Linked DNA regions of Lepisosteus oculatus. The protein of the gene in region 1 interacts with the protein of each later gene in a biochemical or structural test. Links are inferred from orthologs where the notes say so. Each region holds a gene or a part of one and is shown on either strand. Other genes may lie near its edges.

Region 1 (7,443 bases):
CTGTATATCTGACAAAAAGGCTGTCTGCTCTTTTGCTTTGCTTAATTTAGCAAGGCCACAGTCATTTCAATACATCAGAGGAAGAATCAAATCAGTCCAATGCAAACAAGATGGGCACAAATTCTGTCACAAATGGAGAATTAACCCACAAAACTGAAATCATCACCGTCACCAGTTTCAGCTGTAGCGAGGAACCAAGCATTGGCACAGCTGCACAGACAGATCAGGTAGGAACACCTTGGATTTTGTTGTTTTTCTTGCTTTTAAACCCTGCATTTGTAATAGTCTCTATTTCGGAGCTGAGTAGTTTATGTGGAAGGTACGGAAGCTTATTTTACTGTTCTGATTACGTGGAAAGCTTCATTACAAGTGTGGTGTCTCAACTGAATTTCCAGGTACATCAGCCCCGCATACCATTAAGAAAAAAAACATCAATCATGGTGCCTTCATTGATCTCAAAAAGCAAAATATGCACCATTATTTCCACAATGGCTAATGATTTGATCGCCTACTGTACAGTTGATTGTGGGAAATATTTTCAAGATCACACAGGGTTTCTGTTATGTAACAGATATTCTAGGTAGGTTTGTACTGCTGCCTACAAAAATTTTCCCAGATCAATTTGGAACCCAAGTCCAAGTATATTTATCAATATATGTGTTACAAATAAATAAAGCATATTTATTTGTACAGATAATTATTCTTTCACCAACACTTCTGTTTTCCCATGATGGTTTAATCTGTTGTTATTCAAAGGCTCAATTATGACAAGAAAGCACTGAAAACAAGATATATTTCCACAGTCTGTATAGAGGTTTCTCTGACTTAGCAAGTATAAAAGAAAAAACATCACATCAACCATCCCTTCTCCATACAAATATTCAGAATTGACATTAATTTTGTAATTAAAATGATCATCTAACTTTGCCCATGTGTAGCTGTCCATGTTTTCCTTAGAGCATTGAGTCCTTTTCACCAAGCATTTGGGGCGTCCTCACTGTTAAATGTATTTTTTACACTATTTATTATTTGCAACACCTGAGATATGTTACATATGTGATGTAGAGAAGGTAGTAAACCAGTCAGTAATCCTTGTAGTAAACCAGGCAGGCTGGACAAAATAACAAATTTACTGTACATTTCAGGAGCATATTTTTACATTTCAGACAAATATTTGTGACTGTTACTTAGTATTGATATCAGCGGCTCCCAGCAATCAAGCTACCTTCTGCTATAATGTTTTTACCAGTTAGTCTATGCGTGCATAACGTGTATAACTCATTCGAATAGTTTCTTGGCAGAAGTCACATTACATGAAATCAAGTTAATGGCAAAAAAAAAAGATGATCCATCACCTTAATTAGGAAAGAAAACATCTTAAAACAAAGGTAGAATAATAACTATAAATGAACTAAGCTCCTAGGTTTAGATATAAGCCCCAGAAGAAAAACAGCTTGGTGTTGTTTTTAGACAGTACCACCTATATAGTGGCATTGTACAACAAGAATAACTGAACCTTGTTTAAATTATTTTCTTAGGTCACTTGCAATTCAAGTAAACAAGTTTTAGTTCTACTGTATGTAATACAGGCATTGCCTCATTTAGGTGCAGTGAGGTCCAAATCATTTATCACTTAAAATAATGTAATTAGGGAAAATAATGTTAATGGTTAACAGCATTTTAAATCACATGCTATATGCTGACCTTGGATCTGACCAAAGTAACAAACACAAGTGACCTCTTGCAGGTTAAAGATAGGTAAGTGATTGCATGTGTCATTTTAGACATTTAACACACAAAATATTACATGTGGCACTTCTTAATTTTAAAATGTTTTTTTCCTCACTGTATTATCACTACTGGTAGATTGCAATGCAAGGATAGCGCTATGGTCTCTTCACGAAACCTGCATACTTTGCAGTTTACTTGGTCATTTGGGTATAACATCATGTGCAGATGTGCACTTCTATTTTTGTTGGCATAAGGAAGAAGAATTTATGTTAAGTTTTTATACTTAATTGTTATTGTAATACTGATTGTATTAAAGCCTTTGAATTATAATTTCAAATGTAACCACATTTCTTCAGATAGAGTTGCTACAGGCAACTATACTGGATTTGTTGTTTTTCAGAGAAAAAGATGTGCAATATCCAAAATATTGGCATTCATGCAGGGTTTATTGCTTTGTTAGACTTGTAAAATACAACAGTGTGCTTTAATTTAGGTAAAATTCTGTTGTTTACAGTGTAATATCACCTGTGAAAGGTAATATGCAAATAGCCTCTTAGTTTTGAAACATTGCCAACAATTATATTGCTTTTTGCTGGCTGAAAACATGCAACATATGCACGTATCTGCACACATCCTGTAGTCTAATGAACTTTTTTCAATAGAGACTAAATTATTTTACAACATCCTCATTTCATTGCTTGATAGGTTTCTTTAGTTGGACAGGGTTCAAAACTACAGCAGTATTACTGTACGATATGATATTATTTTTTGCTGAAGCAAAATGATTTCAAGATAAAACAGACCAGTACTACTGGGCCAGTAGGCACAACCTGCTGAATAATGAAAATCAGTAACAGTGATATTAGATCATCAATTACTACAACAGGTATGATAAACAAGTCCAGGAAAAGTAATATCATATTTCTTCAAATATAAAGAGGCTGTCAACCCTGTCTCCCAAATGTCAGCAAAACCGCTAACTCAACCGCTAATTGTCCCACTTTAATTTATTTGTATTTTCAAAAATGATATACATACAGTAGCTTTTGGTCCTCAGTGCAAACCTGATATACAAATATTTGACATTATTGAACTTCTGACACCAGTGTTGCATGCATCCTCAGAAATCTGGTTTATTTTTATTGTGTATTAAAAACCCCTAACATGTAACCTAGACGGCAAATATCAATACAAGCCAAAAGACTTTAATTAGAACTTACCTAATTCTGGAAAATCATTGAAAAAAAAGACAAAAAGCAGTGGTTTTACATTAAATTGCCCTGTGGATTTTTTTTGTCCCTTTCGACTCACTACAACACTCCTGTGCTGCTTGACATGCTGTATTCACAGACGTTAGTACAAGCAAGCCCAGGATGTGGTTATGGACCCAAAGGTTTGCTTGATAAAAATAGCTGCAACATGTGCATTATTTAAATGCAGCTTGCCCTTTCATCTACTTCAAAACTATCCTGGAGTATCTCTTTCTTGAAGACTTGAAATTTCTCTTCAATTTCCTCTTTTAAAAAAAAAGAATAAAAGACTGTCATTGATATTTACCCAGCATCAGAGATGATCATCCTTGCAGAATCTCTGAATTCCTTAAAAATACTGTAACAATGTTGGTTAAATAAAATCCTCTTGAACATATTTTACTGTGGACAAGTCAATTAGAATACACAATTTAGACACCTGTCAGAAACTGCAGACCAGGGAATAGCAAAGCCTTACAATCCTCTCTGTGTAAATCCTCACACAGAGTTTGAATGGAATAGTTCTTAAACTTCAAAACAGAGTTAGCTGATCATCTTTGCAACAAAGCTAGGTGGGTCTAAAGACCTCCAGTCCTTTGCAAACATTATCTTACTATGAATTAAAACCTTTAATTGGCAACAAATCAGTTTACATTGGACTGAATTACATTGCCTGAAAAGAGGCAGACTGGAATCAAAAGAGCATCAAGGCAAAATCTCATTTTGTATGCTTAAAAGGAATGCACTTTTTCATCAAGTAACAGCTTCTTTTTGATAATGTACACTTATAGTTATACTATATTATGCACTGTTCCCCAACTTTTTCATTCTATGTAATTGAGTTACCAACAATCTATTTAAATACTGTCTGCCTCAGATTTGATTACTCTGCTATTATTTACTACTTTGCATAATAAAGTAGTTTTACTTCAATAACTTGTTTCAAAGAAAACAATGATATTGACTTATTTAGTTTGGTGTATCACTACTCTCTTTGCAATCCAATAGTTGGAAAACATCCAAAGAATGGTAAAATCAGATTAAATTCAAATTGCATTTAATTTCTCTCTGTTCTCGTAGGATATACAGGTGTCACGGGGATACTGTCGTTGGTTGAGCGGACCTAGAATTCGCAACATAAAAACAGTTGCTTGGATGATCACGCTGAGTGACGCGCTCCACAACTTCATCGATGGCCTGGCAATCGGCGCCTCCTTCACAGTGTCTGTGATCAATGGTGTGAGCACCTCCATTGCTATTGTGTGTGAAGAGTTTCCTCATGAGTTGGGTACGTACCATTTATTAATCTCCCGCACTGGTTCAGAATTATAGCATCATCTGGACTAAATTGTTGTATGATCTTCCTTCTGGCAAACCTTTAGGTCACCTTTATGTTTGTGCTCACAGTAGGAATGTATTGACTGAGGAGTAGGTAACCTACAGTACACTTCTTCAATGTTACCATAAATATAAAAAAAATACATACCAATCCTAAAGAGTAGGTTTATCTTCCATGATCTTCTGTCACACAGCTTCCAGAATTAATGGCCATGAGCAAACTGCAAAAAGAGGAGCTTCAATGAAGCTATATTTGTCAAGTGGCAGGGGGCAGGTTTGCCTTAAAAGATGTAGTCATTATTAATGACAAAGTGATTCTGAATGGTTAAGAGTTGAAAATTCATTCTGAAGAAAAATGAATGGATTAAGCTGACGGAACTAGAAATTTACTGTGAGCATGCAAAGGTGCGGAATACGCTACAGTATATCCCACGCCAACATACAGAAATGAGAATAATGCAACAATATTTTCCACCACTATAAGATTATTCTCTAAAGTCGACCAACGAAATAGTGTTTAAATTACATGAAGAGGTTTAGAAGTTTTCTTGATTTTTGATTCATAACGCTATACTATATATTTTCAAAACAGCACCAACAAAACCTAGATTTCATTTCGTATCTTTAAAATTATATGGGATAAGAACATGAGGATAGTAACAAATGAGAGAAGGTCATTTTGGACCATCTAGTCCATTTGGTCGTAGTAAATTGATCCAAGGAACTCATCCAGCCACTTTTTGAAAGAAGCCAGGGAGTTGGCTGGGTATCTTATTCCATACCCCCACAACCCTTTGAGTAAAGAAGTGTTCTCATTCTTTGTTTTAAATGCACTTCTATATGTTTTTCATTTTGACTGTGTGGTTCATGTTGTACAGTTCATTCAGAATACATATGCTGGGCTGACCTTTAATACTTACATCAGATTGTAACTGTATGGGATTCCCTTGTAATATTGTCTGTTCAACACTAAAAAGGTCAAGTTCCTTCAGCCTGTAAGCATAGAAACTTCCCTTATAAATATAAATGAGGCCTTACTAATGTATCATGCAATTTTAACATATCTTGATTTGAATCTTATGCTTTTAACTATACATCCTAGTTTTTTGTCTTTTTAATTGCTAATACAGAATCAGTTCAGCTTAAATGTTGCCCGAGAAAACCTCCTACTTTGTCAGTAAAAACCTTCTACTCTGTCTTGAGTCTATTTGCATTATAAAAGGCTTGGATAAAATTGCCACCGGTTCAGTAAATGGTTTCAAATGTGTGTTTTTTTTCATCCAGGTGATTTTGTGATCCTCTTGAGTGCGGGCATGAGTATTCCTCAAGCCCTTTTCTTTAATCTTCTGTCAGCCTGCTCGTGCTATATCGGTCTCATCCTGGGGATTGTTGTTGGAACCAACTTTTCCCCCAATGTCATCTTCGCATTTGCTGGCGGAATGTTTTTGTACATCGCTCTGGCAGACATGGTGAGTGATGTGTTTCTTGTTACAATACTGTTCCATTTGTTCTGTGAAGGTTACCTCTTAGTGTATAGCAAAGCACATCACCACCTCCTGTTTTCTTACCTGATAAATTAGTCCTACTTTTACAGAACTCACTGTACTCATTTGTAAGTACCTCTAAAGTTTTATCAGCTAGGAAGTAAGTCTATTCTGATTTGATTATTTTGTTTTTAGTTGTGATACAGTAGGGATATCTGTAAAGCAACCAATGGCATACTACCTACTGTATATTTTTCTTTATGGGCCTAGTTTTCTCAAATTTTCATACATCCACATGTAAATTTCACATATTTCATATAAGGGTCACACATTTCATATATTCTGCAAGACAAGCTGTTAATCCTATACTAATGAATAAAAATGACCTACTGTATAACGGAAATACACTCTCAATAGCTGTAATTTGAATAATAAAGTAAGATATAGTTGTTCCTTGAATTGCAGATTATGTGGCTGACCTTAACACTGTGTCTTATTATTGTTTCCTTCATTCAGAGTAGGCTGTAGAAAATGAAATGAACAACGGGAACAGGCACAGTAGATTTCACCCAATCTTGTAGTGCAATACAGTCATATCTCCATTCTTTTATTATTAGGGAATGTAGCAAGAGGGACTATAAATTTTATTACATATTGATTTGCTTAAGATGAGCTCCAATTACTCAAAAGCTATGTACAGAAAAAAGAAACTGCAAAGTTTATAGTGCAGTCAATTCAGCTGTTTTGCTTTTATGCTGAGTTAGAGCAAACCAAAGTCCCTTTTCCCTGGCAGATATTGAGAGAGGAATTCCAGTATGCTTTAACTTCACTTTAAAATCTGAAATCCTCCATAGTGCAGAAATGCAAATGAATTTCAGTCTAAGGTTGCATTTTTATAAGGGCCTGATAGCCCAGTAACAACCTTGGGACCTACTGGGGCTGCCTTAGAAGAACAGCCTATTTATACTTTCTTGTGGTTGTCATCAAACAGGGAAAATAAGAATCAAGGCAGAATTCAAAGACAAGAGAGAGAATGAAATGGCCTATTCAGTAGTAGTAAGGGAAATTCTGGGACATCTGGATGGCCTAATAAAGAGTCCAATTTTTTTTAAAGCAGTTGAGAGTCCTGAATAATTCTGAATTCTTAATGAATGCTAAGTCCTGTAAACCACTGTCATTTAGAATAATTTCTGCCCTTACAGATTAAAGAATGAATGTATTATGAAGCATTTCATACAGCCAAGATTTATATACCACCTGTTGCATATAAATCTTATTACAATGACTGCAGTCAAAAGCAGAGGAGTTCTATGTCCTAACCTTTACTTACCTGAGTGTTCTCTTATTTCAGTTCTTAGAGATGAATAACATCCAGGGAGATCATGAAAGAAACACAAGGAGCAAGATCATATTTTTCACCATTCAGAATCTTGGATTATTAACAGGGTTCTCTGTCATTCTATTAATTACAATGTTTGCAGGAAACATAAAACTAGAATAGGATGCACTGCTGGTCTTAGACAACAGACTAGCACCTGTTTCATCGTAACCGTTATGTTAAATCTTTGCTTAGCTCTTGTGTAACGTCACAAAAGTTTTCCCCATTTTTAGGCCAGGCACTTTCATTTTACCTTTGGTCT
Region 2 (6,904 bases), on another chromosome or scaffold:
GAAAGGCAGAGTACACCCTTGAGGGGACGCAACTCCATCGCAGGCAGACGCAAACACAGACACACTCACACCAGGGACATTTTTCCCCAAAAGCCAAATAACCTTCAAGTATGTCCTTGGACTGTGGGAGGAAACCCATGTGAACACAGGGAGAACATTAATATAAATTCCACGCAGATAGCAACCTGGAAATTGAACCCGGGACCCTGGCTCAGCGAGGCCGCAGTGCTAACCAACTGTGCTGCCACCAGCTATGGAATCCCTGCCCCCACATGGCATGCATTTAACTGTGAGGCCGGAAAATTACGAACACATTAACCGGCAGAAAGATCACAAGTGTGATGCTGCAAATACTGAAACAAAGCTGAAAAAAGCATGCTAAATACTGTCCCTCAAAACCACATCCTTTAATGGTGCATGCAAATAAAAGGTACTGTTTGACACTATTAATCTACGTCCTAATGCAAACTTAAACAGGCCGTTCCCCTTTCTTGCAAGAAGCTGGGATATGCATAACATCGGAGCTAAACATTCTTTAGGGAAGTCACGGGAAAGCCACGCTTGCGACAGGATAATCAGAGGGAAGAAAAGAAGTGCTGAAAATGAAGGACAGCCATGAAGAGCTCTCCTGTCTTCCACAGAGTCTCAGACGTACTTCTTCATGATTTGTATTTCCCGGCACCATCTTTCTTTGTTCTTCTGAGTCAGCTCCAAGCGGCACGACTTGACAGCAATCTTCTCGGCTGTCTCCTTTTGAAAAGAAAAAAAGAACAGCAGACCGAGCGAAGTCACATTAAAAAAAGAAATACAATAAAACGTTATAACTTGTGTCAAGTAAAACCAAAAAAAAAAGACAAAACAGGAATAAATATCCCAAAATATCTACTTTGTTAATAACAAAGACAATCAGTCGCTGAGCCAGCGTGCTGATCACACGCCAAGCTTCAGGAACAGATGTGCACCCATCACCCAGCTGCAAATTAGAAACCTGGTGCTCTAGCTTACCAGAAGCTTCTCAGTTTTTCCCCAGAGGCGGGATATGAGGCACCAGTCAAGTGGAGAGCAAGCACCATGCAGACGGACAGTTTATCTCCACTGGTAGAGTACAGCTCAGCACCCCGGAGGATACAGCCCGCAGGCCGACAGAGGGAATCGCCATCACCCCCTGGGACTGGCGCCTGCATTTAGAAACTTCCTTTTTTGCAATGAAGTTGTTTATTGTCCCTCTGTATTGACACACAGCTACACTGTCGCTTTGGGGCGAATGCCTTTGTAAAAGCCCACGTTCAGCGTCCCGGAGCTGGGGAATATGGATGAGTGTCTTGAATTGTGAGGGCAAAGCTACAAAGCTTGAGGGACGCGTGCGAGCCCTTGGCGATCACCAGGTCCTTGATCATAGGCCACATAGCTCTCCAGCCACTGGCCTCTCTACCCCAAGCATTAGCGTTTCTAGAGCCGTCATCCCTGCTGCACTCACCAGATGCTGGTACAAATACACATGGCCGAATCCTCCCGTTCCCAGTTTCTCCTTCATCTCCCACAATCCGCACACCTGATTCTGCCTGAACGGCGGTTTCTCCATTCTCTGCTGTAAAAAGTTAATTTTCCTTAGATTATTTTTTTTAATGCGAGTGAGGTCCAATACACCAGACTGTGAGAACACTGAACAAAAATAATACACAAAGAAAATCATACAATGCTCAATCCAGAACATCTCAAAGCATCCCCTTTCTGTTGGAGCGAAATTTCAGACATTTCTCAAGCACTGAGCATCTGTCTGTGCTGTACATTGAGCTAAGAAATGGATTAAAAGCCCTTGTGTTCATGAATCGGGCCCAAAATAGCATCACTTTCGCAATGGTGCAGCTCATTTGTGGCCAGCACCAGGACAAGCTTGTACAGACTCTTTGTCATTTATCCCTGTTATTTTTGTACCTTGGATTGCACTGCTCAAGTATGCAGACTGTACTTATAGTTCCAATCTTACTGCACTTTGCTCTGACTATATTAACGCACTTGTTTTGACTGCACTTCTGCACGTAATGCACATTTGAAGGGTAGGTATTTTACAGCTGGGTGACGTAAAGTGCCATTGGATAACAGCAGCAGGGCCAGTAGCGCTTCTCCTGGGTGTCAACATTGCAGACCAGGGCCAGGTCCCGAACCGGGGCCCGTGCCGTCCTGGAAGCTCAGCTCGTGGATAAAGTGGAACACGGGAGCGCGGGACGCCGACGTCACGAAGCGCCGGGTCACGGGTTCACAAAAATGTTACCCCGACCTGCCACTGAAAAGCCCTGTGGAATCGACATGACCTTTAACCCAGCACGGTTCTCTCGAGACTTCAGACCGGCAACACGACGCTTTTCTGAGGGAAATGAAATCCGTAGTCTGGAGCGGAGGCTACTCGGAGTTGTTGCGTGTTTGTTTCTCCCGTGTCACAAACACGGAAAAGAACCGTTAACTAAAATACGTGAAGCCTTATATCCGCGTCTCGCTTGTTTTAAAGTGGCTGAAAAATAAACTTTGCCATATCCTCTCGCCGTCCTGAACTAAGAGCACCAGTTTCAAAACAGACCCGCCTGGGCCAGCTCGGCTCGGCCGGTCCAATGGCCACAGCCCCCGCGGTGGGGATTAGACTCCACACACGCCTCACTCACCTCTGTTATGTTCACACAATGAGACTTAGTCGGCAAGCAGCCTCCGGGCCAAGAGCTCTGACAGCGCGCAGTCACAGCGGCCCGCTCATGTCTCCCCTCGCAGCCGGATGCCAGACCCGAGGCCGCCGGCCTGCTGCATGTAAACAAGCCCGCTTCCCGTCCGTCAGCCGCTGTCGGTCTGCCCCATGCTCACGGGGGAACCGCTTTCTCGATACCGCGACAGGCGCTGAACAGGTTTAAACCCCCCCACCCCCCTTTTCTGCAATTTTGCCCCCTTTCCTCCCCGCTTCCCAGCAGTAATCTCTACCTCCCCTCCGCCCTTCAGATGCGGCGCTTTGGACTTTCCCAGAAGTGACGTCACCGCCGCCTCGGAGCAGCACGCGCTCCTGTACCTCCGGGTGCCCGCGCGCTGGTCTCGAGGTTGTCAGTTCCGATACCTGCGTGACGGTTTGGGCTCTGTATCCGACCAAAAACAAAACAGCGAATGGGAATATTCGCCATCCGTTACGCGTTTTCATGCAATTTTTAATTTTGAACGTAATTGCGAACCTTACACAATAATAAACACTGACTACTTTTTTTTAGTTAAGATCACTTTATTGGCCATATACAATTTCTTGCATTGGGAATTCGTCTTTTCACATACCCCAGCTAGCTCTCCATGAGACATAAACACACAGAAAGGGAGAGAAGCCTGGGGTCAGAGCGCAGGGTCAGCCATTGTACAGCGCCCCTGGAGCAGTTGGGGTTAAGGGTCTTGCTCAGGGGATTCCTCTGCCGGCCGCGGAATATGAAACGGCAACGTTCCGGCCACAAGCACAGATCCTAAGCCACAGTGCCACCACTCTGCCCTAACGTACTTCATACGAAGTCTGAATTTTGTATGTAATTCTTCTATAAAGCAATGTAAATTGTAAGTTTTATTGCCAGCAGCCATATCACCCCGCAACCCACTGAAGCTCAGCAGGTGTGAGCCTGGTCAGTACCTGGATGGGAGACCTCCTGGGAAAAAAGGTTGCTGCTGGAAGAGGTGTTAGTGGGGCCAGCAGAGGGCGCTCACCCTGTGGTCCACGTGGGTCCTAATGCCCCAGTATAGTGACGGGGACACTATACTGTAAACAGGCGCCGTTCTTCGGATGAGACGTAAAACCGAGGTTCTGACTCTCTGTGGTCATTAAAAATCCCAGGGCGTTTCTCGAAAAGAGTAGGGGTGTAACCCCGGTGTCCTGGCCAAATTTCCCATTGGCCTTTAACAATCATGGCCTCCTAATAATCCCCCTCTATGAACTATCACTCTGCTCTCCTCCCCACTGATAGCTGATATGTGATGAGTGTTCTGGTGTTCTATGGCTGTTTGCAAAAGGTGGGGCTTCATATTGGTGGTGGTGTAGGGGATCCCCATTACCTGTAAAGCGCTTTGAGTGGAGTGTCCAGAAGAGCACTATATAAGTGTAAGCAATTATTATTATTATTATTAATGTTCCTTTCACCAGAGAAACCCAAAGCATAAAAATAGAAAATAATGTAACACCTACATACAAAAGGGAAAAAAATAAATTTTGACTAGAAATACTTTTAAATTAACAGTTTTCAGCTGAGGTACAATAGAAGTCAAGGAGTCATGGTTTATTTAACTCAGTCCAATTGGCCCAACTAGCAAAGAGAGTCTGTAGATCTAGTGAGCATACGTACTAAGTATCTCTTGAAGATATACAGTACCTTAATCACCAAGAGCTTTATTTTTAATGTAGCCATTTTAAAATCAATTCTGTGATCCACAAGTGAAGAACTTTTACAATGCTAAAACATATTGTCTAGTAACATTTTGAGCAAGGCAAGGTTGAATAAACAGATGTATTAGCATCTCCTGGCTTAATGTACCTAGCTAGATTATTTTGGAAGAACAATGCAGTTTTAATACCAGGATTTGAAAACACACAAAAAAAACTATTTTCATTGGCATAAAATGCATGTTAGGGCTGTATTTTCTAATTTTAACTTCTGTATAAAGCTGTATAAAGATCCAACAGAATTTCTCAGTGAAACAGATACGTGTCAGTTTGAAAGGGGTAGGCACACCGGTCAAAATCGTTTCTAGACCAACCAATAAAGGTAGCTGGAGCTTTAACAGAGCCGTGTCCGTCGACTGTATCAAAGGGAACTGAGCTGATAGCGTTACCGAAACAAGACCTGAATGTTTTCCAGAACCTATTGCCTCAAGAATACCTTTTGCCCCAATAAGTGTGTCTCACAGTCGTGACTAAACAAAACCCAAAATGAAACCTCTATAACAAATTGTCACTGCTATGGTTACTGTACCGTGGTCATTTTAAGAAACCGAATTTTCTCTTACCTCTAGATGTCGCTATAGAAGTTACTTCGGGTTTACCTTAAGCACACGCCAACCTGAGAAAGCACGCAAACGTAATAGACGTTTCGTCCCAAGTTGCTCGTTTAGAGTAGCTAAGCGGTTCGATGATCCCTTACAGTCAGTTTATGACAGAGGCCAGGGTATCGGCTTCAAAGAGAATGGGTTGCTTGTTCCATTATATTAGGCTTTACAGCATAGTGGGAAGCTGTAGCGCGTCGTGCTTTTTATGTACTTTTGATTACAGTTCATGTTAATATTGCAACGAACGCTTTCCTTTCAGTCCTGGCGGCGGCGGCATTTAGGAAAGACAGGCTGGAGACGACTCACAGGCTCCCTGACAGTTTAATTGCCTTTTTCATTACAGCGTGGCCAGCTAGTCACGGAGGAGAGAGAGGCAGAGAGGAAGCAAACGTTATCTGGATTAACAGGGGAGTGGGAGAGGAGGGATTGCACATGGTTTTAATGAGGGAAAAGGCAGGAAATGTGAACCTGTGGTAAAGGCTGAGAGTTCGTGGGGACAGTCCAACAATGAAGTTAGAATTGGGAATCCTGGAGTTGGATTGACTGTCTTCCGAGCAGTGGGCAGCAGCAGGGATCTGGTCTGGAGAGGACAGGAGCACGCAGTGGCTGCTGGGATACAGCAACAAGGGAGGGCTTGCCTTCATCAGCTGGTCTGACTGTTGTGGTTCCAAGCGGGCTCTTGCCCTCGCCGTTCCACCCCGCTGGCTTGTCCCACAATGCCTGGGCGTGAACCCAGTGCCGGTGTCATCGCCCTCCCTACATGTAGCAGGGACCTCAGGCGCCTGAGTTGAGGGAGGTCTCCTTCAGCTCATTGGGCTGGTTCCCTTTTGCATTACGCCGGAGACCTCCCTCATCTCAGGCGCCTGAGGTCCCTGCTACATGTCGGGAGGGCGATGACACCGGCACTGGGACTATCGAGCTTCGGGTGGGCCTTCTTCCATAGAGGCAACTTTCTGTCGGAGCGCGCGTGGACACGGCGGCGCTGGCTTCTCCTGGCCTTCCCATCCGCCTGGCGACCAGCCAGCGTCCTCGGCTCACAGCCCTCACCTGGCCAGCAGAGGAATCACGGACTGTGACAAGAACAGGCATGACAACAGTACCCCGCGGCTCATGGTCTGGGGGGGGGGCTTCAGCTGATTCAGAGCAGCTGGGTTTTGGCACCCCTGCTGTGGTTTGCGGAGGGCACTTGCTTTGGCAGCAGGGTCCTGAGGCTCGTGGTGGGTGGGGTGGGGGGCCTGTCACCGGACAGACTCGCTAGGGTGGTGCTGGCTGGCGTCCTCTGTGGAGCCTTGGCAGAAAAGTCCCACAGCTCGTGGGGGTGGTGCTAAATGACCCCCTCTGTCTTCGATGGCAGGAGAGCGGTGCAAGAGCTCGACCTCCTCCGGGGCAGTGAGCGCAAGGGAGCCACCGTCAGCCTGCCAGCCCATCACTCCCCCAGCTCAGGCTGGACAGCGTTCGCGTTGCCGTGTTCCTGTGGCGGAGTATCCCACTCGTAACACCAATGCAAAGAACGCTCACTTCGGCGGCAGCAGCATTAGGAAGGACAGGGTGGAGATAACCTACAGGCTCACTGACAGTTTAATTGACCTTGTCATTACAGCAGAGGGGGGGTGCGTGTCACGGAGCAGGTCAAGCTAGGAAGACGGAGAGGAAGCAGGCATCCTCCTGACTCCAGAGGTGGGGAAAAGAGAGAGAACAGATTGTTTCCCAGCTTTGTAAAGGGAAACAGCAGGAAAGGATGAACTGCAGTGCCCTACCCACTGGGGCATCTGAATCCACACTGAACAAGCTCCAGTAGGTCCAGAATACGACAGCCAGAACTCTGACCAGGTCATGTGCAGGTGATCACAGTATG
Region 3 (7,405 bases), on another chromosome or scaffold:
GTGTGTGTGTGTGCCCTGTGATGGACTGGCGTCCCTTCCAGGGCGTACCCTGCCTTGCGTCTACTGCTTGCTGGGATAGACTCCTGCTCCCCCACAGCCCTGAATGAGAAGATGGCGGGACAGTAAGATTGGTTTCCATTTTCGAGGACGTCGGTCAGCATCAAACGTTTGAAAAGTGAGAGAGAGAGAGAGAGAGAGAGAGAGAGAGAGAGAGAGAGAGAGAACTGGGACGCTTCAGAATCGAGCAGATCCAGTCGGCCCTTCTGGTCCGGTTCGTAGTTAAGAGTTAGTTGATGCCAAGACCTCACCCAGCTGTTTCTTGAAAGAGACCAGGGGTGTGACTTCAGCCATAAAATACTTAAATTATTTCTCCCGGCATGCCAAATTCTGGCAGCCCGGGACGCTTCTGTCAAGTATTAAAGGCCTTCGAACTATATTATCATTCCTCGATGCTGGAAGAAAATAAACCTGTTTTTGGTCAAAGGTCCACTTTTGTGTTCCCGTCACACGGGGATAAGATTTTAATCGCGGGAGAGGACGTGCGCGCGTCCGAGATCTGTTAGGTAGACAGCTGCTTTCAAACACAACCGTTTCAGGCAAATCGCCACAGCTTAAGACAACTGAATGCGTGCAGTATTAAACCAAAGACTGTAGATGACACAGAAATTCGCATTTCTATTTCTAAGCCAGAATCCTGACCAGGTCTCGTGCACTCCTGTCCTGTACACACACACACACACCCACCCACACACACGATGACTAACGGAAGGAGATGACACAAGTCTTCCTTCTCGAAAGCCCTTGTGGCCTTCAGACGCCCGGCCCTGCTCGGGGCTCAGGGTGTCCCATTTTGAAATCCGCGTTTCACAAGAGTATCACCCACACCCTCCACCAGCTCTTCTCTGAAGTCCGCAGCGGGACAGCCGAAGGGAACCACCCCCTCCCCAATTCCAATTCCGAGAAAGGTGACGTTTCCAGTTGCAACACCTCAACGTGCGGCGTGGGGCTCCCATGGAGAAGAAAACAACCGAGGGTTAGCAGAGCCGAACGCTCTTGCGGTTTCGAAACTCAAAGCATCTTCCATCGCTGGGAAAGGCGCTATATAAAAACAGATTGAAATGAAAACCAAATTCAGCGGACGACTTCAGATCCATACGCATTCGAGATACGAAGTGCTGGCAGAAGGCTTCTGTTTAAGTGACAACATCAGTTCGACTGATAAATATTCATTTGCCCACGGTGTATTTGGCACACAGCAAAACACAGGAGTTGATAGTCCACAGCTTTGACTAAACAGAGAGAGGTGGTGCCATTGGCAGAGTGGGGGCTCTGTGGCTGGGAGGTTGCAGGTTCAAATCCCACAGCCGGCAGAGGGATCCTACTCCGTTGGGGCCCCTGAGCAAGGCCCTTCACCCCCAGCTGCTCCAGGGGGGCTGACCCTGCGCTCTGACCCCCCAGCTTCTCTCTCCCTGTCTGTGTGTCTCCTGGAGAGCAAGCTGGGGTCTGAGAAAAGACACATTCCTAATGCAAGACATTGTATAGGGCTGAAAAAGTGATCTGATCGAGATCGTGCGAGTGACGTCATGCGATAACTCGGGCGACCTTCACGAAACTCCGTTAATGATATCCCATCGTTAATTACACCGGCAGGCAGGGGGGCACAACAGCGCAGGGCGAAGGTATCATCGATCTGCAAACCCATTTAAGCGAAATAAACCCGATGACACCCGGAAGAGCAATATTAAAACAAAGAGGCGTTATTATACGAGGCAGCACGACTCAATAACAACATCGCGCTGCAATGCGCTTCAAGATCAACATTGAAAAGCTGCCTGCTGGAGATCGGGAGCTTATCCTGCAGTAGAAAGAGCTACAGGCGTCTTCTCTTCCAGGATGAGAGCTTTTTACTACGTGAATCGGGAGGGATGGAGTTTTTCTAAAAAAAAAATAACAAAGGACCAGATGACAGATGTTGCGATTTTGAATCTGCACGAATTGTAAACTCCCCCCACCACCACCCAGACCGCAATTTCGCTGCCCGGGTGTCCACAAAACGTCTTCAAAACACGTGTTTTACCTACCCGCAGTGTGCGGCGGGAGAGAGACTTGGTTGTAGCCGAGTTTTGAACCGGCTCTTTGAACTTTGTCAACATTTACTTGCGCTGCCCAACGTCAGGCCCTGCCGGGGCGATCCGCTCTCTGAAGAGCGGATCGAGAGCAGGGATCTGGCCGACCGGCTGGGAGATCGTACAGAGGAACAAAGCTACACGCCGGGCGAGGGAGGGGGGTGCAAAGCCAACCGTGGGAGCCCTTCTCTTACACACACAGCGTGTTGATGAATCACGATCGCGGAGCATCGAGTTACAAACACACACATACAACAAGAGGACGGCGCAGCCAACACCGGCTGGGACAAAACCGCAGGCACCGGCGCCTCTCGGTCCCATCGATCGGCTGGATCGGGACGAGAGAGCTCATACAGCACCAGAGACCCGGCACCAACGGGGATCCAGGCTCGGACCGGCAATTCGGCGACCAAAACTACCAGAAACCACCTCCCAGGGCTCTGTGTAGCTGCCCTGAAAACCCCCCTTGATAAGAGGTGAAAACTCCCCCCCCCCCCCCAGTGTTGCGCTGCCGCCGGGAGAAAAGTTTTGAGCGGCGGCCGAACAATGAATCAGTTGTCCGCTCTCACGCCCGGCGCCCTCGGCTGCCGCGACCGGAGAGACGTCGTGGCTTCTCGCCCGCCCGGCTTGCACACAACGTCGCTTCTCCCTCCCTTGAACCCCTCTCTCCCAGCTCCCTGCCCCCTCTCTCCTCCGAACCCCGAGCCCTTCGCCACCCGCCCGCTCAGCTCCGGCGAACGCGCTGGAAGGCGAGAGAAGGGGAGGGAGAGAGAAAAAAAAACAACAACAACAACACTCACAGTTTGACTACATTCTCCACGACGGCCGCCATCTTGGTTCGCCTCCCGTCTCGGACGACGGCAGCGCGCGCCTGCGCAGAAGACGACGCGCCGAGGTCACGTCGAGCTCGCGCGTGTGGCCGGGGGGGGGCCGAACGCGGCCGCGCCGGAAGCAGCCGGCGCGCGCGCGCCTCTCACAGAGTTCCGCCTAAAGCGGCTTCTTGCGTTTCGTCTTTTTAAATTTTTTTTATTAAACGTATAAAGATTTTACTAATACAACTACACTTCTTCTGTTTCGTCGTTTTTTCTGCCTTTTTCGTCTTCGTGACGTTAGCGAACTAGCATACTTACTAACCTTCACTTTTTAAGAAGTGTGCTGAGAATAATAATAATAATAATTGCTTACACTTCTATAGCGCTTTTCTGGACACTCCACTCAAAGCGCTTTACAGGTCATGGGGATCCCCTCCACCACCACCAGTGTGTACCCCCACCTGGGTGAGGCGCCAGTCCGCTCCCCACACCCCAGCTCTCAGTGGGGAGGAGAGCAGAGTGATGGAGCCAGTTCAGAGAGGGGGTTATTAGGAGGCCATGATGGGTCAAGGCCAGGGGGGAAATTTGGCCAGGACATCGGGGTAACACCCCTACTCTTCTCGAGAAACACCCTGGGGTTTTTAATGACCACAGAGAGTCAGGACCTCGGTTTGACGTCTCACCCGAAGGACGGCGCCTGTTTACAGTCTAGTGTCCCCCGTCACTATACTGGGGCATCAGGACCCACACAGACCGCAGGGTGAGCGCCCCCTGCTGGCCCCACTAACACCTCTTCCAGCAGCAACCTTAGTTTTTCCCAGGAGTCTCCCCTCCAGGTACTGGCCAGGCTCCCACCTGCTGAGTCTCCAGTGGGGCTGCCAGTTGTGAGTTGCAGGGTGATATGGCTGCTGACAAGATAAGATAAAGATCACTTTACTGGCCATATAAAATTTCTTGCATTATGCATATAAGTGTATATAATAACGTGCCAGTATAATAAGTCAATCACAATCGATTTTGTTGGTATTATTTGCAATGGAATTGAAATTTAACATTACATCTATGTCTGTCCAAATGCTAGCAATATTGGCCTCTTTTTTTTTCAAAATACGTTTGCAGATCAATCTAGAATGTTTTTACCAGAGGACATAACCAAAAATAAATGTTGGGCTACTTTCACAAAAGAACATTTTTTAAAACCTTTTTTTTTAATTATTGAACATATAAAGAATTTTACAAATACAACTACAACCAGAGGATCAGAAACAGGTACAAGAGACAGAAATCACAAACAAAAGAAAAAAAAATACAAAAGAACACAGTTATCATCTATATTAATTTTGGAATGGCCAGCAGCCATATCGCCCTGCAGCTCCCCACTGGCAGCCCCACTGGAGACTCAGCAGGTGGGAGCCTGGCCAGGACCTGGAGGGGAGACTCCTGGGAAAAGCTGAGGCTGCTGCTGGAAGAGGTGTTAGTGGGGCCAGCAGGGGGCGCTCACTAATGCCCCAGTATAGTGCGCTGCCCTTTGGATGAGACGTCAAACAGAGGTCCTGACTCTCTGTGGTCATTAAAAACCCCAGGGTGTTTCTCGAGAAGAGTAGGGGTGTTACCCCGGAGTCCTGGCCAAATTCCCCCCCTGGCCTTTACCCATCATGGCCTCCTAATAACCCCCCTCTCTGAACTGGCTCCATCACTCTGCTCTCCTCCCCACTGAGAGCTGGGGTGTGGGGAGAGGACTGGCGCCTCATCCAGGTGGGGGTACACACTGCTGGGGGTGGAGGGGCTCCCCATGACCTGGAAAGTGCTTTAAGTAGAGTGTCCAGAAAAGCGCTATATAAGTGTAAGCAATTATTAATATTAACTTGAAATCGCTGCACGACAAGGGTCTTGACTAGGCTCTCCGCTCAGCCGCTAGAGGGAGCCACAGTCCAAGCTATATTTGCACACCATTTCTGTCGGTCCTGTACGTTGCGTTAAATATTACTCAGACGTGCGTGGGGGTGAGAAAGGCGTGTTAAACTATCACCACAGCCCTGCAGAATTCAATCACACAGCGAAAGGAGAGACACTCCTTTGCGTGGAAGATGGGGGGGGTGAGATTCTTTTCAAACCTGAGGTTTGACTTCGTACGCTGTGTGATTTTGCCCCAGTACCGGGTTCTTTAAACGTGCCGTATCAGGGGGGTCAAAATGAAGACTTGTCCGGGGGTTGTGTGTGCAGGTAAACGGATCTGCGTGTCCGTATCCGGTTCCCAGATGGACCACAGGACGTGAGCACCTTGCGCGACTCGTTCTGAGATGCCGTTTCCAAAAGCTACGATAAGACCCCGTCGAGTCAGAGTGAAAAAAAAAATATTTTATTTAGGTTTGAAAGAGGAGCCGTAGAGTTAGGGGGGGTTATTGAGGAAAAAGTGGTCGCGTTTCATACAAAATAATTCACCCAGTTAAGATTCTTGTTACCCATTGATTTCAAATTAATCTAGATGACAAATGTGGTTTTTTTTTTGTGTGTGTGTGACAACAGCCCTGAAACTATTCAGCTCTTGTTTGTCCCAGGGTACACATTTTCTGGACTAAGTTGCAGAATTATATTTAAAAAAAAGAGACCAATCTCGATGTTTGTTGTGATGAAAAAGATGTTCACGTTCGGCCCCATCGAAAACAATCTTAAAATTGCGTTTGTGATCCATTTAATTATTAGAACGGCACGTTATTACATCCATACAATGAAGTGGTCTGGGAAGAACCCTGTGGTTGAGCGTTTTACAATGGAAGTGAGAGGGTATTTGCAGACTATTTTGAAGTGCAAAAATCTGAAAGCGGTGCGGACGTTATTTTCAATTTGTTTTTCAAATAACTTGAATTTATGGAGTAATATGTACCCTCCCCCCTGACGATCTTTGTGTCTTGAATCGTTCTATGTACTCTTGTTTGAACTGTGCTTGTTAAGCAATCAAGTGTGCCTATTAAGTGCGTGGGGTGGGGCGAGAGGGTTCCTGGATTCGTGGATACAAGATAAATGAGACAGGCGAAGGTGCTGGCTAGGACACTGAGCCAATTTGGGCGTTAATAGCCGTGAAAGACGTTCCCTGTGTCCGTACAAGCAGGATTGAGGGTCTGAAATTGAAGCCTAGCTAGGGGAAACGTTATACGCGCTCGGGCATTAAACTTTTAACAACAGGAAAGGAAGGTATAGGATTTCAGGCCAGCAGCGCAGAGGTTATCGGGGGGTTTGGCGTCGGAGAAGACGCAATGCAATTTCAGCGCCCGGTTGGACTAATGTAGCGCCGTCCCGAGCCCCCGGTCTTTCGGAATGGCGGCCGGCTGGGAGTCGGTCCGGAGGTCGTGCCGGGAGCGGGCGTTCGGGCTGCTGGCGCTGGGCTACGTGCTGTACGTCCTGCTGGGCGGGGCCGTGTTCGCGGCTCTGGAGCAGGCCGGCGAGGTGGCCCTGCGCCGGGAACTGCGGGAGGTGCGGGCCGCCTTCCTAGACGATCACCGCTGCCTGCGGGAGGCCCCGCTGGATGCCCTGCTGGAGGAGGTCGTCTCGGCCGGCCAGCACGGCGTGTCGGCGCTGGACGACAGAAGCGAGGAGTGCAACTCCGACTTCACCTCGTCCCTCTTCTTCGTGACCGCGTTTCTCACGACGACGGGTAGGTGGGAAGGTGGTGGTGGTGGTGGGAGGGTTACAGTTTTGACTTCGGCCTTGTGGCGTCTGTTATGTCGCGCCCAGCGTCCGTTTGGGCTTTTACGACGCTGTCGCGCTGTGGGTTTTGGGGGAGGTTACCGCTTTACGGCACCTGGGTGCCTTGGCGGGGTTCAATGTCGCACCGCTCAAGATCTTCAAGTTCGGAGCTGATAAAAAAAAAAACCGCCCTACATGTGCAGAAGGTTCCGATTGGACCGGCTCCGTGAGGGATTGGGGGGTGGGAATGAGAGGGCTCAGCTGGGAAGGAAAACCAGGAGATGTGGGGGGGTCCCCTGTGGGAACCCCCCCAAATTATCCTGTAAAGGACAGGAGGGATGGACCGTACAGCAGCTTAGATGTTCTGTCTGGTCTCAAACAGGTGGAGGTTTAAATAAGAACGAGGCGCTCTGGTACTCTAGTAAAACTGGTGTTTTAGAACTTGGGGATCCCCATTTGTAAAGATCTTGAGCCATTTGCAGTTACCATGATTAATCGGACAGGTGGCTCATTATGTGATGCCGATGGGGGGGTGGAATCTGAACATTTCTTCTTGCTTAATTGCCAACTCGATTGGCCAGCGCGCCTGATCTTTCACGAAAACGGGCGATTTGGGGGTTTCGGAGGAGATCCTGCAATCAGGAGAGGGGAGACCCTGCTTTACACAAAGGGTGGCGGGGGTGTGGAACAAGCCGCTTAGCCATGCGGTGGAAGCCGGTACCCTGGCTCCTCCCAAGCCGCAGCTGGAGGGGATGGCTCCAGTCAAGATGGCGGCGGGGGGGG
Region 4 (7,205 bases), on another chromosome or scaffold:
GAGCTGAGCGCCCCGCAGCGCTGAGCTGCTGTGTCTCAGCAGGACATTTCACTGCCAGCAACTACTGCTGCAGGCTGTGCTGTTGTGCATTTGATCAACAAACTATGACTGATCGATTGATCTCTCTGTCCCTCTGTCTGTCTTCCCCTCTCCCTCCCTCCCTGTCCCTCTCTCTCTCCTCTCTCAATTCAATTCAAGGTGCTTTATTAGCATGCCCAATGAGTTAAAATCAGTGTCGCCAAAGCAAATAAAAATAAAATGAACGTGAAACAAAACCCCAAAACATCCACAGACATATTACAGACATTTACAACAAAGACATCATAAAATAGTTCAGGTGGGGAGCTGCGTCAGCATGTGTAGTCTGCAAAGGAACAAGTAAAGGTTTATTCCTCATGACAAGAGAAGAGAGAAAACACAGCGTTTCGTCTGGAGAGTCTTCTTCAGGTGTCGAGTTGAAGGCTTCACAGTCGAAACGCTGTGTTTTCTCTCCTCTTTTCAGCAGGGAATAAACCTATTACTTGTTCCTATATGATTAAATCTTACATATACTGTAAACATCTGGAGCATTACTGGGAGAGAGGCTCACTGGTCCTCAGGCTGGGACAGGAGATCACACACTGGGCTGCCAGTTCAACTGAGTTCCCTCCTCCCACTCCCAGTAGGATCGGGAGCTGTTGTGATTCTGGCAGGTGTGGAAATTCTGGGATTAGATTTCTGAATTTAGGGAAGAATGTTTCTCTAATCCCAGAATACCTGTCACAGTGCAGTAGGGAGTTCACCTCTGTCTCCCTCCTCTCCCTGTCCCTAACTCTCTCCTCTCTCCAGTCTCCTCTCCCAGTCCCTCTCTCTCCTCCTCTCCCTGTCCTGTCCCCCTCTCTCCTCCTCTCCCTCTCTCTCTCTCCCTGTCCCCCTCTCTCCCCTCTCTCTCCCTGTCCCCCTCTCTCCCCTCTCTCTCCCTGTCCCCCTCTCCCCTCTCTCTCCTCCTCTCCCTCTCCCTGTCAGTCTCCCTGTCCCCCTCTCTCCTCCTCTCCCTCTCTCCCTGTCCCCCTCTTTCTCCCCCTCTCCCTGTCCCCCTCTCTCTCCCCCTCTCTCTCTCCCTCTCTCTCTCTCCCTCTCCCTGTCCCCCTCTCTCTCCCCCTCTCTCTCCTCCTCTCCCTGTCCCCCTCTCTCTCTCTCCCTGTCCCCCTCTCTCTCCTCCTCTCCCTGTCCCCCTCTCTCTCCCTCTCTCTCCCTGTCCCCCTCTCTCTCCCTCTCTCTCCCTGTCCCCCTCTCTCTCCCTCTCTCTCCCTGTCCCCCTCTCTCTCCCTCTCTCTCCCTGTCCCCCTCTCTCTCCCTCTCTCTCCCTGTCCCCCTCTCTCTCCTCCTCTCCCTGTCCCCCTCTCTCTCCTCCTCTCCCTGTCCCCCTCTCTCTCCCTGTCCCCCTCTCTCTCCTCCTCTCCCTGTCCCCCTCTCTCTCCTCCTCTCCCTGTCCCCCTCTCTCTCCCTGTCCCCCTCTCTCTCCTCCTCTCCCTGTCCCCCTCTCTCTCCCTGTCCCCCTCTCTCTCTCTCCCTGTCCCTCTCCCCCTCTCTCTCCCTGTCCCCCTCTCTCTCCCTGTCCCGACAGGAGTGCTCACTCAGCCCAGAGCCCGTGTTGGTTCTGACCCGCGGCGGCGAGGGCAGCTGTTCTTACAGTAGGCTGGGAGGGCGCAGCAGTGCGCTCGGCCGTCCAGGGCTCCTCTGCGGCCGGGTCCGAGCGGCTCGGCGGCGCCCCCCGGCGGCGGCGGGGGGGCGCTGTCCTGCGAGGGGAACGGTCGCTTCCGGAAGGGCAGCTTGGACGCCGGCGTGTCCGGGCCGGGCCTGGGGGGGCTCGGGGGGCCGTGATGCCCGTTACAGCCCCGTCCTGCGGACGCCCCCCCCTCCTCTGCCGCGGGGCGCCTGCGCGCGGAGGTGCTCAGGTCCAGGGGTCCGGCGCCGCCCCGCTCCATCCTGCAGAGCCCGGGTTCGGGCCGGGGCTGGGGTGCAGATCCGAGCCGCCACGGACTCTCAGGCTGTGGGGCGCCTCAGGCACATCGCACCCCGGCTCGGAACCACAGAACCGGAGCCACGCACGCCAAGCAGAGAGCTGCCCCCCCCCGCCCAGAACTGGACCCGGACCCGGACCCGAACCCCAACCTCGTCGGGGGCGCTCCTGCAGCAGCGGGGTCGGGGGTCCGGGGGTGATCCCGTGGGCTCGGAGCAGAGGAATCCCGAGGAGGCGTGAGGCTGGTGCACAGCGGAGCAATCGCCAAAAATAAGACACCGATTCCTCACAAACCAGCAGAATCGGTTCTCCGGTCCTCCTGCAGCGCGCAGAGTCGGGGAGAGGGAGAGGGAGAGGGAGACGGGGGGGGGGGGTGGAGGCAGAAAAAACTCCCGAGGAAAGGCCGGCGGCGGAGGTCCGGGACCGGGGCTGGAGTCGGTGCCGAGCGGAGCGGGTCTCGGGTTCGCCAGCCGTCGGCGCTGTCAGCGAGCGAGTGCGCGGAGACACGGGCGCAGCTGAGCGACAGCGCTCTCTCTCACACACACACACAGAAACACACAGACACACAAACTAGGAAGTGCACCGAGCGGGGGTTTCCCTCGCCGGCTGCTGAGAACTTCAGCCCGGAGCTGTAACCCCTTCGGCGCCGCCCCGCGCCGGCTCGCGCTTCCGGTCCCTTCACTTCCCCCGAATTCTCGTGCTGTTTCTCCAGTAATAGTGGCTGTAAGAAAAAAAAACCCGCACGATGAGACTCCGGACCCGAGCTTCCTAGCAGGCCGGCGGGGAAGCGGTCGAGAGGGCCCGGAAGGCGAAGGGCCGCAGGTGATCGCGAGCTGCCCGCCCCGGGGTGAACTTCGGCACCGTGCCTGAGCGAGACACCTCCTGGGACTCGATACTTTCCGTGCTTTTCTAGGAGATCGGCGCGGTAAATCACAGTGAGAGCGGGGTAAAGGCGCAGTACAGTGCAGTAAATCGCAGTGAGATCAGGGTAAAAGCACAGTACAGTGCAGTAAATCACAGTGAGATCAGGGTAAAAGCACAGTACAGTGCAGTAAATCACAGTGAGATCAGGGTAAAAGCACAGTGCAGTGCAGTAAATCACAGATCAGGGTAAAGGCACAGTACAGTGCAGTAAAGCCCAGTGAGATCAGGGTAAGACACACAGAGGGTCTGGGTGGGGTGACCCTGTGACCAGTGTGTGTGTGTGTCCGTGGAGGAAGTTCTTGGAGAGGAGAGGAGGGACGTACCCTGGAAACCATTCCTGGAGCCCCAGAGGGGCGAAGAGAGAGGAAATCACCTGGGATTCACAGGTCGAGGCCTGGAGAGCCACCAGCTGCTCCCGCGAGTTCTCAGGCTTACAACACCAAAAGAGTCTCCAAATTCACAGTGATCTCAGTATCTGATCGAGAATTATCGGTACTTGTCTATACAGCCTACAGCAGTGCCCCTAGTCTCTCCTGCAGCAGTGCCCTGATGCCCTCAGTCTCTCCTACAGCAGTGTCCTGATGCCCCTAGTCTCTCCTGCAGCAGTGCCCTGATGCCCCCAGTCTCTCCTACAGCAGTGCCCTGATGTCCTCAGTCTCTCCTACAGCAGTGCCCTGATGCCCTCAGTCTCTCCTGCAGCAGTGCCCTGATGCCCCCAGTCTCTCCTACAGCAGTGTCCTGATGCCCCCAGTCTCTCCTGCAGCAGTGCCCTGATGCCCTCAGTCTCTCCTACAGCAGTGTCCTCAGTCTCTCTTACAGCAGTGTCCTGATGTCCTCAGTCTCTCCTGCAGCAGTGCCCTGATGCCCTCAGTCTCTCCTACAGCAGTGCCCTGATGCCCTCAGTCTCTCCTACAGCAGTGTCCTGATGCCCTCAGTCTCTCCTACAGCAGTGCCCTGATGCCCTCAGTCTCTCCTACAGCAGTGTCCTGATGCCCTCAGTCTCTCCTACAGCAGTGCCCTGATGCCCTCAGTCTCTCCTACAGCAGTGTCCTGATGCCCTCAGTCTCTCCTACAGCAGTGTCCTGATGCCCTCAGTCTCTCCTACAGCAGTGTCCTCAGTCTCTCCTACAGCAGTGCCCTGATGCCCTCAGTGTCTCCTACAGCAGTGCCCTGATGCCCTCAGTCTCTCCTGCAGCAGTGCCCTGATGCCCTCAGTCTCTCCTACAGCAGTGCCCTGATGCCCTCAGTCTCTCCTGCAGCAGTGCCCTGATGCCCTCAGTCTCTCCTACAGCAGTGACCTGATGTCCTCAGTCTCTCCTACAGCAGTGTCCTGATGCCCTCAGTCTCTCCTACAGCAGTGCCCTGATGCCCTCAGTCTCTCCTACAGCAGTGCCCTGATGCCCTCAGTCTCTCCTATAGCAGTGCCCTGATGTCCTCAGTCTCTCCTACAGCAGTGCCCTCAGAGCCCTGCACGAAGCAGGGAAGTCCTGCAGCACAGCTTTTCATACACTCATGCTGATCCCTAGTGGTGGCTGGGTGAATGTGCAACTGCGAGGCTTCTAAACTTGCTCCAGAGTGCTGATCACACAGTTCCACGAGCCCTGCGGAGAGCTGCTCTGTACATCGCAGGTGTTGTGTGCGTGGTGCTCTGTGTGCTGTGTGCTGTCTGTTGTGTGTGTTAAGGTAGGGGGCAGGGTGGCTGCTGCTGGTATTTTCAGAATCTCCCCACTTTGAAATACATCTATGAACCGGAAAAGCCTTCCTCTTCCTCTCTCTCTCTTCCTCTCCCCTTCTTTCTCTCCTAATACCCTGTAGTGTCCAGTCAGTGAGTCTGTCTGAACCCCTCCCTCTCTCAGTGCAGTGTTAATGTACTGGAGTGTCCAGTCAGTGTGTCTGTCTGAACCCCTCCCTCTCTCAGTGCAGTGTTAATGTACTGGAGTGTCCAGTCAGTGTGTCTGTCTGAACCCCTCCCTCTCTCAGTGCAGTGTTAATGTACTGGAGTGTCCAGTCAGGGTGTCTGTCTGAACCCCTCCCTCTCTCAGTGCAGTGTTAATGTACTGGAGTGTCCAGTCAGTGTGTCTGTATTAACCCCTCTCTCTCTCAGTGCAGTGTTAATGTACTGGAGTGTCCAGTCAGTGTGTCTGTATCAACCCCTCTCTCTCAGTGCAGTGTTAATGTACTGGAGTGTCCAGTCAGTGTGTCTGTATTAACCCCTCTCTCTCAGTGCAGTGTTAATGTACTGGAGTGTCCAGTCAGTGTGTCTGTATGAACCCCTCTCTCTCTCAGTGCAGTGTTAATGTACTGGAGTGTCCAGTCAGTGTGTCTGTATTAACCCCTCTCTCTCTCTGTGCAGTGTTAATGTACTGGAGTGTCCAGTCAGTGTGTCTGTATTAACCCCTCTCTCTCAGTGCAGTGTTAATGTACTGGAGTGTCCAGTCAGTGTGTCTGTATTAACCCCTCTCTCTCTCAGTGCAGTGTTAATGTACTGGAGTGTCCAGTCCGTGTGTCTGTATTAACCCCTCTCTCTCTCAGTGCAGTGTTAATATACTGGAGTGTCCAGTCAGTGTGTCTGTATTAACCCCTCTCTCTCAGTGCAGTGTTAATGTACTGGAGTGTCCAGTCAGTGTGTCTGTATTAACCCCTCTCTCTCTCAGTGCAGTGTTAATGTACTGGAGTGTCCAGTCCGTGTGTCTGTATTAACCCCTCTCTCTCAGTGCAGTGTTAATGTATGGGAGTGTCCAGAGGTGTAGTATTGCTATGTAGTACTAGTATTAGCCCCCTGTCTCTCTCAGGTTTCTAGTTACCTGGGTGACTTTGGGACTTTCCACAAGCTGCATTTATTTAGAAAGAAACAGAGAGAGCAACGGAAAAACTGCAGTTTGAGATAAAGTCCCTAGAAACCCTGAATGAAACAATGAGACCTAAAAGATCAGCTGTTGAGAAGGAGCAGCTGTCCTGATCTTCAGTTAGAGATCAGGGGTGGAGACAGAGAGGCGTCACTCAGCTCCTTCACTGCCAATTAGAGATGATTGTGTAACCCTGATACTATTAATGGAACTGTTGTTATTACTAAAACTGCCACTGTAGTATTCAGAATACTGTAGTATTATCTAGTATTGCTTCTGTTGTTGTTATTTGTATAACTGCTGTTATTACTACTACAGCCACTGTAGCTGTTACTACTACTGCTTTTATTAAAAATACTGTCACTGTTACTACTACTTCTTCTCTTTCTGCTTTTATTACTACTTAACATTGGCTGCAGTTACTACCACATTTACTGTTGTTGCTCCTGCTTCATCTTCCCCAGTTGTGTCCGAGAGGATGAGCGTCCCTCTGCTTCTTTGCTGCTGCTAGCACTGCTCGCCCTGCCAGCCGCCGCCGGTACTGCAGCGTGCGTGCGGGTCTCCGGTCGCTTTGCTCCACTTCGTCCGTCCTGCAGAACCGGGACACAGAACCTGACGGGGAATTTAAAACAATCTGTCACACGACAATCGCTGCTGTTCTTACTACTGCTGCTGCTGTTACTGCCACTGTTACTACTGCAGCTGGTGTTACTTTTACTGCTGCTACTGTTACTGCCACTGTACTACCACTGCCACTGCCAGTGTTACTGTTACTACTACTGTCACTGTGGTTACTACTACTGCTACTAGTGTTAAGTTACTACAGTTACTTTTACTGCTGCTACTGTTACTTCTACTACTGCCACTGTTACTGCTCCTGTTACTACTACTGTTACTACTGCTACTGGCAGTGTTACTACTACTGCTACTGTTACTGCCACTGTACTACCACTGCCACTGTCACTGCCACTGCCACTGTCACTGCTCATGTTACTGTTACTGCTACTGCCACTGTTACTACTACTGTTACTACTGCCACTGCCAGTGTTACTGCTACTGCTACCACTGCTATTGTTGCTTTTACTGTTCCTGCTGTTACTGCTAGTGCTGCCACTGTTACTACAACATCACAGAGAATCCCTCAGTAATAAACACACAGCAGGACAGGAGACACAGTGAGAGAGAGGAGATCACAGAGAATCCCTCAGTAATAAACACACAGCAGGACAGGAGACACAGTGAGAGAGAGGAGATCACAGAGAATCCCTCAGTAATAAACACACACAGTAGGACAGGAGACACAGTGAGAGAGAGAGGAGATCACAGAGAATCCCTCAGTAATAAACACACAGTAGGACAGGAGACACAGTGAGAGAGAGGAGATCACAGAGTATCCCCCAGTCATAATCACACACAGTAGGACAGGAGACATA

The links.
Region 2: of the proteins of nuclear factor NF-kappa-B p105 subunit (region 1) and chuk, one has a biochemical effect on the other in vitro, tested with the Homo sapiens proteins (3 studies listed by BioGRID and IntAct). The link is inferred for Lepisosteus oculatus from reciprocal best matches to the Homo sapiens genes NFKB1 and CHUK.
Region 3: the proteins of nuclear factor NF-kappa-B p105 subunit (region 1) and dpf2 form a complex in vitro, tested with the Homo sapiens proteins (2 studies listed by BioGRID). The link is inferred for Lepisosteus oculatus from reciprocal best matches to the Homo sapiens genes NFKB1 and DPF2.
Region 4: the proteins of nuclear factor NF-kappa-B p105 subunit (region 1) and bcl3 form a complex in vitro, tested with the Homo sapiens proteins (2 studies listed by BioGRID). The link is inferred for Lepisosteus oculatus from reciprocal best matches to the Homo sapiens genes NFKB1 and BCL3.

The regions. Positions count from the first base shown.
Region 1 is NC_090696.1:60,035,953-60,043,395, forward strand, and holds the start of nuclear factor NF-kappa-B p105 subunit, read right to left. Parts: upstream 3,024-7,443; 5' UTR 2,952-3,023; intron 228-2,951; coding exon of another isoform or gene 51-227; intron 1-50. Other genes in the region: slc39a8 (metal cation symporter ZIP8), read left to right, coding at 51-227, 4,062-4,269, 5,604-5,788, 7,155-7,304.
Region 2 is NC_090699.1:17,636,375-17,643,278, forward strand, and holds the start of chuk (inhibitor of nuclear factor kappa-B kinase subunit alpha), read right to left. Parts: upstream 3,006-6,904; 5' UTR 2,658-3,005; intron 1,589-2,657; exon of another isoform or gene 1,586-1,588; 5' UTR 1,583-1,585; coding exon 1,478-1,582; intron 751-1,477; coding exon 656-750; intron 1-655.
Region 3 is NC_090713.1:19,938,915-19,946,319, forward strand, and holds the start of dpf2 (zinc finger protein ubi-d4), read right to left. Parts: upstream 3,020-7,405; 5' UTR 2,959-3,019; coding exon 2,927-2,958; intron 2,602-2,926; exon of another isoform or gene 2,082-2,601; intron 1-2,081. Other genes in the region: kcnk7 (potassium channel, subfamily K, member 7), read left to right, coding at 6,254-6,590. UniProt on the Homo sapiens protein: Plays an active role in transcriptional regulation by binding modified histones H3 and H4. Is a negative regulator of myeloid differentiation of hematopoietic progenitor cells. Might also have a role in the development and maturation of lymphoid cells.
Region 4 is NC_090722.1:10,467,864-10,475,068, forward strand, and holds the start of bcl3 (B-cell lymphoma 3 protein), read right to left. Parts: upstream 3,005-7,205; 5' UTR 1,968-3,004; coding exon 1,673-1,967; intron 1-1,672. UniProt on the Homo sapiens protein: Contributes to the regulation of transcriptional activation of NF-kappa-B target genes. In the cytoplasm, inhibits the nuclear translocation of the NF-kappa-B p50 subunit.